Linked DNA regions of Caenorhabditis elegans. The protein of the gene in region 1 purifies or fractionates together with the protein of each later gene. This does not show direct contact. Each region holds a gene or a part of one and is shown in the gene's direction. Other genes may lie near its edges. The genes, in order: sem-4 and egl-27.

What was found.
Region 2: the proteins of sem-4 (region 1) and egl-27 purify together in Caenorhabditis elegans (affinity purification with western blotting, with the first as the bait; one study listed by BioGRID). This does not show direct contact.

What each region holds. Positions count from the first base shown.
Region 1 is NC_003279.8:7,036,982-7,042,212, forward strand, and holds the start of sem-4 (Spalt-like protein sem-4), read left to right. Parts: upstream 1-1,918; 5' UTR 1,919-1,926; coding exon 1,927-2,002; intron 2,003-3,659; exon of another isoform or gene 3,660-3,730; intron 3,731-5,231. UniProt on the Caenorhabditis elegans protein: Transcription factor, involved in positive and negative modulation of transcription. Binds to multiple DNA sequence motifs in the regulatory elements of target genes, including homeobox selector egl-5 and LIM homeobox mec-3.
Region 2 is NC_003280.10:6,833,199-6,838,031, forward strand, and holds the start of egl-27 (Egg-laying defective protein 27), read left to right. Parts: upstream 1-1,822; 5' UTR 1,823-1,882; coding exon 1,883-1,967; intron 1,968-2,256; coding exon 2,257-2,375; intron 2,376-2,388; exon of another isoform or gene 2,389-2,495; intron 2,496-3,428; coding exon 3,429-3,569; intron 3,570-4,653; coding exon 4,654-4,779; intron 4,780-4,828; coding exon 4,829-4,833. UniProt on the Caenorhabditis elegans protein: Transcription factor which promotes stress survival and delays aging. Required for cell cycle progression and development of the mesodermal and endodermal embryonic lineages.

The sequences.
Region 1 (5,231 bases):
CCCAAACTACTTGCATCTCTATCAGTTCTGAAACGGAGTGAAAAAGAAAAAGAACAAAATGGGCGGAGTCATGTATGAGGGAGAAGACGTGTCGGTCTCCCGTGGCGGTCGCCTTCTCTCTCTCTTTTGCAACAACTCATATTTTACCAGATCATATCTCGTCCCTCACACAGGCGCCCGGAGCGTCAGGTACAAGAATGAGTACCTGGCGCGAATCGAATCGAATATGTCTCCCCTCACCACCACCACCACGGGGGTGACAATTATCATCAAATTCGTCTCGAATCATCGACGACGTCTTCTGATGAAGAGAGAAAAAAAAAGACTTTTTCTGGGGTTGACTGTGTTCATTAATTCAATTAGTGTTTTATCAATCATTCAACAAATCATGCAAGTAATTCAGTTATTCATTCATTGATTTGCCATTTTTAGAAATTTCTGCTTTTTTAGTCAAGTTCTGAGGTTGAGACTTTCTTGAGAACTTTCAATAATGTAGTTCCATTTTCACATAAAACAATTTCAACCTGCCATGTTATTTTTAATATCTCAGCTAACACCTTTCAGAGCTCACTTACAGAAGCTTAACATCTGCAAGACGGAGCAACCATTTTTTCTGTAGTCTGGCGTCGAGCATGATTTTTAAAAATGATTTGTACTAGAAACTAATTGTGACGCCACAATTTGCGAGAAAGGGACACTGTCACTTTATAGCGATATATGTATCTATAACAAATTTCTGGGTTAGCTTTGCACTAAGGCTTGTATCTGAAAACGTCCGATCCTCATTTCCTATCTAAATTTAGAAATCAAACTTTACAACTCAACCTAAAATAATTCTAGTCTACAAGATCTGATGACTCATAATCCGAAAAGCCTGTAGAACACACACAAACAGAACTCAGACCCCACCAAATTTAACGGAATCTTCAACCGCATCTCGCACTTTATATTCATACCGATCCGATCTTTTTTCCATCCTTTTTTTCCAACTATTTCAATTGCAACACCGTATCCACCTCATGGAAAAGGGGAACCGCTCACTCACTCATTTTATACGATTTTCATCTTCTACACCCTCACTTACTCACATCATCACTCACTACCTTCCCCTGATCATTTTTTGAGATATTCTTTCTTTACCCAACCATGAACAACAAAATTTCATATTTACACTCGAAAAAAATCATCCGATTCAAGATTCTTCTGCGGCTATACTCGTCATTTGGCGCGAACTGATTGCCTATGGTTGATCCAAAAATTACTCTTTCAAAAACTGACAAAGCTCGGGGCAAACTTGAGAAAGTCCTGGTTTATGATGTACCCAAATTAAACTCACGTTTTATCTAGCTGTTGTGAAACTTGTATTGTATCGTTTTAAACTTGGCTGAGACGCTGAAAAGAGTTAGATCAATTTTGGGCTGAATCTGGGTGCGGCCTAAACCCAGTCATATAACCAAGTATTTCGTAACTTTTGCAAAGACAAATGGCGAGCCGGTGCATAATTCAAAAATGTTCATTCCAAAAATGCATTATGGGCAAATTTAGACTATAGGCTCGCCGCTCGATAACTAGCTCATTCGAGCAATATCATTTATGATTAATGACTCTATTTTAAAGTTCAATTTTTTATCGTCAATTGAATTCCATTCCCATTCCCTTACTGCCATCTCGTGTCTTCAATACTTTTACCATTTTACTCTAATAATATAAATTTTGATAATAGCCTTGTTTTCGCAATATGTGCCCCCTTGTCCCGTCGCCTTCTCATCTTTCTAATATAAATCGTTTTTGTTCTGTCTCTTTTCTCTGTGTGTGTTGTTTTGTATCCTTTTCTCTGCTTTTTTCCCTCTTCTTGTCCACTATTACTCTTTCATTCTTTGCCTATCATGCTCATCTTCTAGTAATTTCAACTTTTCAGAGCTCCAGATGAATGAGCTGCTCGCCGAGATGGCCGCGGTTTCATCCCGCAGAAAACAGTCAAAACCACGTCGAATGTCTGGTGGTAAGTTGAGGGAAATGAGAGGAAAATGCGGGGTGTTTAATGAAGTAAAAGACAAGAAAATGAAACAAGGCGATGATGATCGACCTTGAAATCTTGAAATTTTCTGCGAAAATAACAAAGTTGAATATTAAAACTTAAAACGCACTTTTGGAATGTTTCAAAATCATTTTAGTTCTACATTTTTGAAGGTTTTTAGACTTTCTAGAAAAACCAGTTATCACTAGTTTTTATGGGTTTTTGGGACATAAGTAATGAAAATTGGAAGGAGACAATAAATTGGTGTAAATTTACAATTTTAATGTCAATTCCTCTTATCAACTTATCAATATTATTCATATTACTTCGAATAGTTTCGGACGAGACATTTGCTAGAAAACCAGTATTAAAAAAAAATTAATATTACCAAAACCATCCTAGTTTGGCATTTTCATTTAAATATAATTTATCATATATTTCTCGTTCATTCATTTTTTTAAGTTTTAATGAGAAATCTGTCACATCTGTTCCACTTCAAGGAACACTTTTTCATTAAAATGTTTCCAACACAGAACCTTGTCAAATATGATAACATATCTCTTATCTCTATCTCTTTCGTATCTTCTTACCTCATTTTTAGTGTTTTTTCAATGCTTTTCCTTCGATTCTTTCAATCATAACCAATCAAAACCTACCGTAGTCCAAAGAGCTCCTCCCGAAGACCAGAGACACTTATTATATTTCCATTCATCTTTTCATATTGCTCCGCCCCTCCGTCACATTTCCATCCAATCATAAGCGACTATGAGGAGAAAGTGAGAGAGAAAAAAGAGCAAGAAAGCAGAGAAACGAGAGAGAGAGAGAGAAAATGTCCAAATATGGGAGTGCAAGGGGAAGGGAGAAAGAGTTTCGGAGAAAAAGAAAACCAATCAATTTGGCAAGTTCTGAGACAGACAGACATGAGAGAGAAAGGATGAGAGCATGTTGAAAAGGGGATGACAATTTGACAATTTGAACTTGGTGTCCAGCTCAAAGAGCAAGACTGAAATTTGTTTTGAAAGTTTTTAGTAGATAATGTTAACCAAAACGAGTTTCACAAATATTTCACCTGTGACAATAAAAGTTTAATTTTCCATTCAGTACTGTCAAACATTTCAACAGCTGTTGACAATTCGATGAATGTGAAGACCCAGTCTCTTAGAGCATGACTTTGTATGCAGAATATTTCTTGGTACTTTCTGCCTGTGTATGTGCATACAAATTTTACAGTCGTATATTTTCTATAAACATGTTGAAATTTAAGATTAACCTTTTTTTATTTAAAGATATATAGGCTTACTATTAGGCCGAGGTTGCCTTGCAGGCACGTATGCTCAAAAAAATTTTATATTCATCTTTGAGAAAAGAAGTGTATCATTTGTATCATAATTTCCGGTATCAGTTGTCTCTAAACCACCACCATCAGCTCTCGGCTTCATCTTCACAAATCATTTTTTGTGACGAACAAGTGCTCTTGTGTGTGAGACTTGAGACTTATTGTCATCTCATCTCTCTGCTGATTCTTCCATTGGCTGAGCCCATTATTATTTTTTTCTATTGAAAGCCTTATTGATTCTCTCTTTTTTGTGCTTCAAGTGGCAACATTATTGTGTTCGAGGTCCGCGAGCCGCCGCCTTCGACACGAGTCGAGTCGAGCCATCATAAAATCGAATTTATGATCGAACACAAAAGAAGTTTAGAGTGGCAGGATGAAGACGTTGTTGTTGCGAATCAGAATTCTTCTTCTGTGGGTCTTCTCCCCTCGAAACTCGATCATTTATTATAGTGTTTTTGTGTAATACGAGAGAAATAGTGTGCAATATCAGAGCTTCCTCCTTCAACAAGCAATATGAATTGGTTGGACGATGGAGACGAAAATTGAAACATTATGTGTGTGTGTCACAATGTGTGTGTGAGAGTGTGTATTTGAGGACCAGCAGAGTATCATCATCTCATATATTTTATGGATTTTTGATGGTAGCAGAGGTAGATGAGTTGAAAAAAAAGATATTTGGGGAGGAGGAGCGTTTGGATAACACTCATTAACATTGGAGGACTCTTTATGAGCGCGTGAGAAGAGAATGAATGAGACTATTATTGAATGGATGATATCAAACCAACTGACTCGCACACAGATAAGATGATAAAAATGAAGAGTTTTTGAGTTTTTGCTCATGAGTTGCAGTTACCAGAGTACTTTATTTTAAGGGGCTCAATTACGATATTTGCACAATCAAACAGTTCAAAACTGAAAATAGATAGCGTCATGTAATTCTCGCCTCGAACGAAAGTTTGGGTAGTTCCTTTGAATCCAGTACTATCTGATAATTGAAAGATTTCAGCTGCAAAAGGCAACTCGTCACCAAATTCTCAGCCAAATTTCGCCAACTTCGGCCACTTCCGTAAATGGCACCTAGAAAAACGCTAAAGTTGGTTAAGAAATATCGTTGATTTTCCGAGCAGTTTGACGAGATTTTTTGTTTTAACTTTCAGCTGAAATTTTTTTGAGAGCAGATTTTTCGAGTCTATTTACTACTACTTTGGAGGACCGTAATTTTGCTCTTAAATTGAATTCGGAAAAAATTATAATTGTAAAGGTCTCTAGGGGTATGCAAACATTTTGGAATATTTTTGGAAATTTTAATTTAAAAAAATTAAAGCCTAAAAATATCCAATTTTGAGCAGTCTTCCAGTTCTCAAAGAAATGAATCATTCACTTTAAAAATTTTCAAATTGAAATTTACTTTATACAGTTAATGTACAGCGACATTTTGTGTGGTTACCCAAAATTATATTAAAACAATTGAAGATATCTAGAAAGTTCAAAATTTGTTGCTTCCAGTGTTTTTTGAAGAAACAGGATTTACTTTGGATCTTTTGATCTAAATACTTGAAGTTGTCGTTTTGCTTCGATGTTTTAATTTGTTCGTTTGAAAACTTCAAATTATGTCTCTAATTGTACAATCATAGTCCCCTTTCTCAATCGGCCGTTATCATATTTACAGTATCCTCCATCTTTCCTCTGTAGACACATCGTGTCCCAATCGACTCGAATTAGTTGTAATATGCGGAAAAGTTAATCAAATCATGCCCTTTTTGTCAATAATCAATCGTTGACATCGTCTTAATTTTTCCGTTAAACCCACCTCCTTCTTCGTTTTTTGCTGCCTTTTTCGTAATGTTTATTAGAGCGTACTTAACCTTTTCACCCCCT
Region 2 (4,833 bases), on another chromosome or scaffold:
TGATGAAACAGAACATCTGATGTTATCACAATCAATCAAATCTTATTCATCTCTACGAATTCGTAAATGTTTTCACTTACATATAAATTGGAAGAAAAACGGATTATCGTTCCAGAGATCAAAAAATGATGTGCCTCCCCTTTTTTGCAATTAATCCTCAACTCGTATTTCTCTTTGTATGTCTTGAAAATTGAAATTTAGACAGTTTAGTTGTTATCACGTCAGTTTTGTGTATTCCACTTGAACTATCTATCTGGTTGGTTAGTCTCCTCCCACCCATGAGTCTTTCATTTATGTTTGTCTAGCCTGACAATTGACCTGACCACCAACCATCAGGTCTCTCCCACGTTTTGTATTTTTATTATGCACATTACGAACTGTGTGAAAATGGCTGTCGTATCATAATAAATTTTGGAAAAAGAAAACATCTGAAATGTTGCCAGTTCTTTGATTCTCAAAATGTTCAAATGATATTCATAAGACTCTCATCTTGTTTGCCATATTGTCATTAGCAGGTCATCCTCTTCTATTCAATTCTGGCTAATCCCCCGTTCCCCCTTTCTCTTATAATTCATCGTTCCTCACTGTTTGGTTGAATGAAAGAGCACAACAACACTTGTAATGAGTTATTTCATATTTTGAAAAAGTTGCCACGTCATGGAAAGCCAAGACACAGTGGCGGTCTGCTTTGAGGTCGTCACTGTCACCGTCGAACTGTTTTTGATCGCAAACATACATCGGTTGTCTCGTCTCTCGGGTTGTCTCTCTCTACCTCTCTCTCTCTCTTTTCCTTCGGTGACTACCTCTCCTCCCTTCCCGCCACACCGTCCTCCCCCTTCCACCGACTATTCCACCTTTTTGTGGTATGTACTAGCACTATTCTCTGCGTCTGTTTTACAGTTCTCATTCTCTCACACACACTTATTTTTCCCCAATTCTTATGGTAGTTGAATGTGAGTACAGTGTCCACTAGGATCTAGACTTCAGGACTCATTCTGAAAGTTGAGCCGAGGTCACGTGTGAAAACTGAGCTCTTTTCCTACACCTTGCCCCTTCTTGACAATTGTCGTTCTTCCTCTTTCTTATCATCACTTGACTTTTTTGAGCGACATGCTGGACAAGACAAGTCGTTTAATGGATGATGTTGCGATTTACTATCATCTGTTAGTATGCGCTAAGTAGGTGCGAACGTATGACGAGTTACAGTAATTTATTAAGCTTGAAGGTTTTTGAAGGATTTTATGAAGTTTGATCAAGTTCTTGAGTTAAGTAAACATTTTCTCTTGTGATCTTAATTGATTGTGAAAATAGTGAACAATTCAAGTTCTTGAAAAGATTTGATTTGTGTAAGTTAGAAAATGTGTGTTACCAATTACTGTTGTATTTGACTTCTAATGGATCTTCCGAGTCAATCAGATTCCTTGGCGCTCGGTGGTCCTGCTCCTGCTGCTAAATACACCAAAATATTTGATGAATGCGGTGCGACGGCGATGCCGCCAATGTCTCTTTTCCTAACGGACCAGTCGTGTATGTGCTCTGTGTATGTGCCCCACTAACCGACGACGACGACCCTCGCCCGCCCCACGCCACTCCCACACCCCACCCCGTCTTCATCCCTTTCCTCTCTCCCGTCTTCCTTTCTTCTATCCCTCGGTGCTGTTCTAGTTTGTGTTTTTACTAGGCTCTAGAGGGTTCCGGAGGGAAAGAAAAAAGAACTTCTGTGCTTTTCATCACCATCTTCCTCTCTCATCTCATCTTTTCATTTTTTATCCAGCTGATTTTCGTGTGTTCTCAATGATTCAAATTAAGACCAATTCTTTAGGATAGTTCATCATTTTTGGGGGAGCAAACTGGAAAAACTAAAAAAGGCAACAAGACAAAGATGAGCCGCTTTGACAGCCAGTGCAGTAGTGAAGACGTCAACAAAGAGGACGAATGTGTGCCGTCGTCATCTGAGGATAGCCAAGGTAATGAAATTGTAACTGAACCGTCTCTGTGTCTTCTTGTATGTCATGTCAACCTAGATACGGGTATTCCCAGTGGGGGCCGTTCTTTTAGAAAGATGGCCCCATCTTCACCAGCGTAAAATGTTATGATTCTCGCTGCGGATTAGCGCTTAGCGGATTAGTCGAACAAATGTACGAACACATAAGAAGACACATGCGGCAATTCTTTTTTGTAACTTTTGATTGTGTGATCTAGATTCTAAAGACCGCCTACTTGAAATAATTTAAAATATAAATTATCAAATTTCAGACGGCGTTTCTTCCCCAATGGAAAACGATGACGAACCAGAATTTTCCCAAAAGCATTACGATATTGAACCATGTTATTATAGTCTTACAGGCAAATCGGATAGGAATTGCCGTGGAATAGTAAGTCATTTTTTAATTCAAAAATCTGAAATTTGAGTAATTTCCTGTACTCTTTAATAGTTATAATCTGAATAGACATCTTATGTATGCGTATCTTCTTCCCCTTCAATATCTCAACACTCGAAAAACCAATTAATTGTCGTTCTGTCGAGTTTTTGGAAGAGACACAGACATTTAGGCAGTTTAGTGTGTAGGGGAGGTCAAAAGGAAGAGGAGACGCTGGTCATAATTCAAATTCTCTCCCGATTAGACGAACATCGCTACAAATAGACAAAAACCTGGATTTCAATCTTTTTTCACCCGTTTTTTCTGCGAAACGTTTTGATGGCTAAACCTCAAACATTGCGCTTACACACACACACATTGCGAGCTTCAAATCGAGAAGAACCAGATAGTCAAACACTGAGAAGATCGCGAGCCGAAAAAAAAACCGAAGTGACCTCTCTTCTCGTTTCGTCAAAAATTGAAAATTGAACTTTGACTAGATTAGTTGTCAGTCGGCAGCATACTTCCTCGAATTGTGCGCATGTTTTCCAAAAAAAAGCGAAGCGAGGCAAAAACAGCTGCCCAATTTTTGATCTGAAATTCGAGACAATTGCTTTTTTCTGGCTGGCAAGGAAAGCAAAGTCAACAGAAGTTTTCGGAGACCCCAGAGAGATGCTTCTTCCCTCAAGAGAGTACAAACAAAAGAGACGCTTGAGAGTTAAAAAGATAGATACTATGCGACAATAGACACACAAACACAAAAAAACATTTTTTGCCGCATTATATGATTTGTTTGTTTGTTTTGAAATGTGCGCTCATAATATTTCATTCTCTCACAGTTTAGTGTTAGTTGGCATTGACCTAGTGTGAGACGAGGTGCCAATTGACAACTGAAGCTAATGAGAGGAGAGACGCAGACGACAAGTACAAGTGAACACTAGTTCATTTCACCTCAAAGATACAGAGAAACCGGAAAGATAAATAAGACAGACTAGTTTCTAATATAATATCGTTAGTTGAAAGTTTGAAACATACAAATCTACTGATTTACTAAACATATTTTTTCAGGTATACCGGTATCGACAAGACAGTGATCTAAAAGGGTTTCAATCACATGATGGCACATTGTACAGGCTACGAGATTCAGTATTCGTAGAAGTGTCACAAAACGAGCCGTATGTGATAGCGGCAATATGCGGATTTAAATATGTGAGTAATGAGATCGTGAGGCATGTCAGCAGATGGTTCTGCCATATTAAGGTTTTTGAAATAATTGTTTCTTGGAAACTTGTTCCTCAAAAATCAGAACCACAATAGATCAAATCGTTCCACAGTGTTACAATGAAATATTTATATAATGGGCAACACTCAGTGAATGTAGCGATAAGATAACAAATTCGGCATTTAAAAATTAATGTTGCGAGAAACCGGGTGATGTTTGACAATTTCGAAATAAATTGATAGAAAAGGGGGTTTAAGGACAAATTGAACTTTTTGGAAAATGAAAAATGAGGTTTTCTTTTTGAAACTAGAGATTCTTTGATACTTTATAATCTCTGCTGACCTCTTCTCAAATTCCAAACAACTATCAATTTACTTGTTCTCTATATCTCTTCATTCCCTTGTTCCTTGAACTACTGGTTTAGAGGAGGAGAGAACCGCACTTGTGTAAATATTGACACAGTTTTAGTGGGTTCATGTATTCCCTTCATGTTTTCCTTTCGACTGATAGCACTGAATACTTTTTTAAACATAAAAGTATAAGGAAGATGTCATTGAGTCATTTGCCCACTTGTTCGTCCTTCAGAACCCACTAAAAACCGTGTCATAATCGGATTGCGCGGGAAGTCGTTGAGAATTAGAGAATGCATTGAAAGTGAAAAAACATAAACTTTTTAATTCAAACACTTTTATAGTATCATCACAAAAACATACATTTTAGTATACACAATAAAAGTAGAAAGTTTGCTCACTTTTATGAGCTGTGAGAAGAACATAATGTTCCTCTTTGTTGTTGACAAAGCACATTCACGTGACCAACTGATGAGCTTATTTTAGAATTTAAATAGGAAATTGGGATAACTAGTTTTTAAAGCCAAAATTCTAAGAGCAACAAAATTACAATATTTTCTAGTTTTGACAACGCAGGGATAATTTTTCTTCTGGATTTTCAAAGCCGAAAACTGAGTTTATCAAAAAAGGTAAATTCCTTTGACAGGGCTACACATAGTATTCAAAAAATGATAAGAGATTATATATTTTTCAAAACAAAATAAAGAATACCAATTTTCAGACAAAACGAGATCACGTGGTAGTGAAACTTACGAGGTACTTCAGAGCAGACGATATACCTGAGATATCTTTAAATTTAATGAAACAAGAACGAGCTGAGCTTGAAATCAATCCACATTTATGTCCAGTTAGTTTAATTTTTAAGATTTTCAGAATTACTCACATTTATTTTTCAGCAATC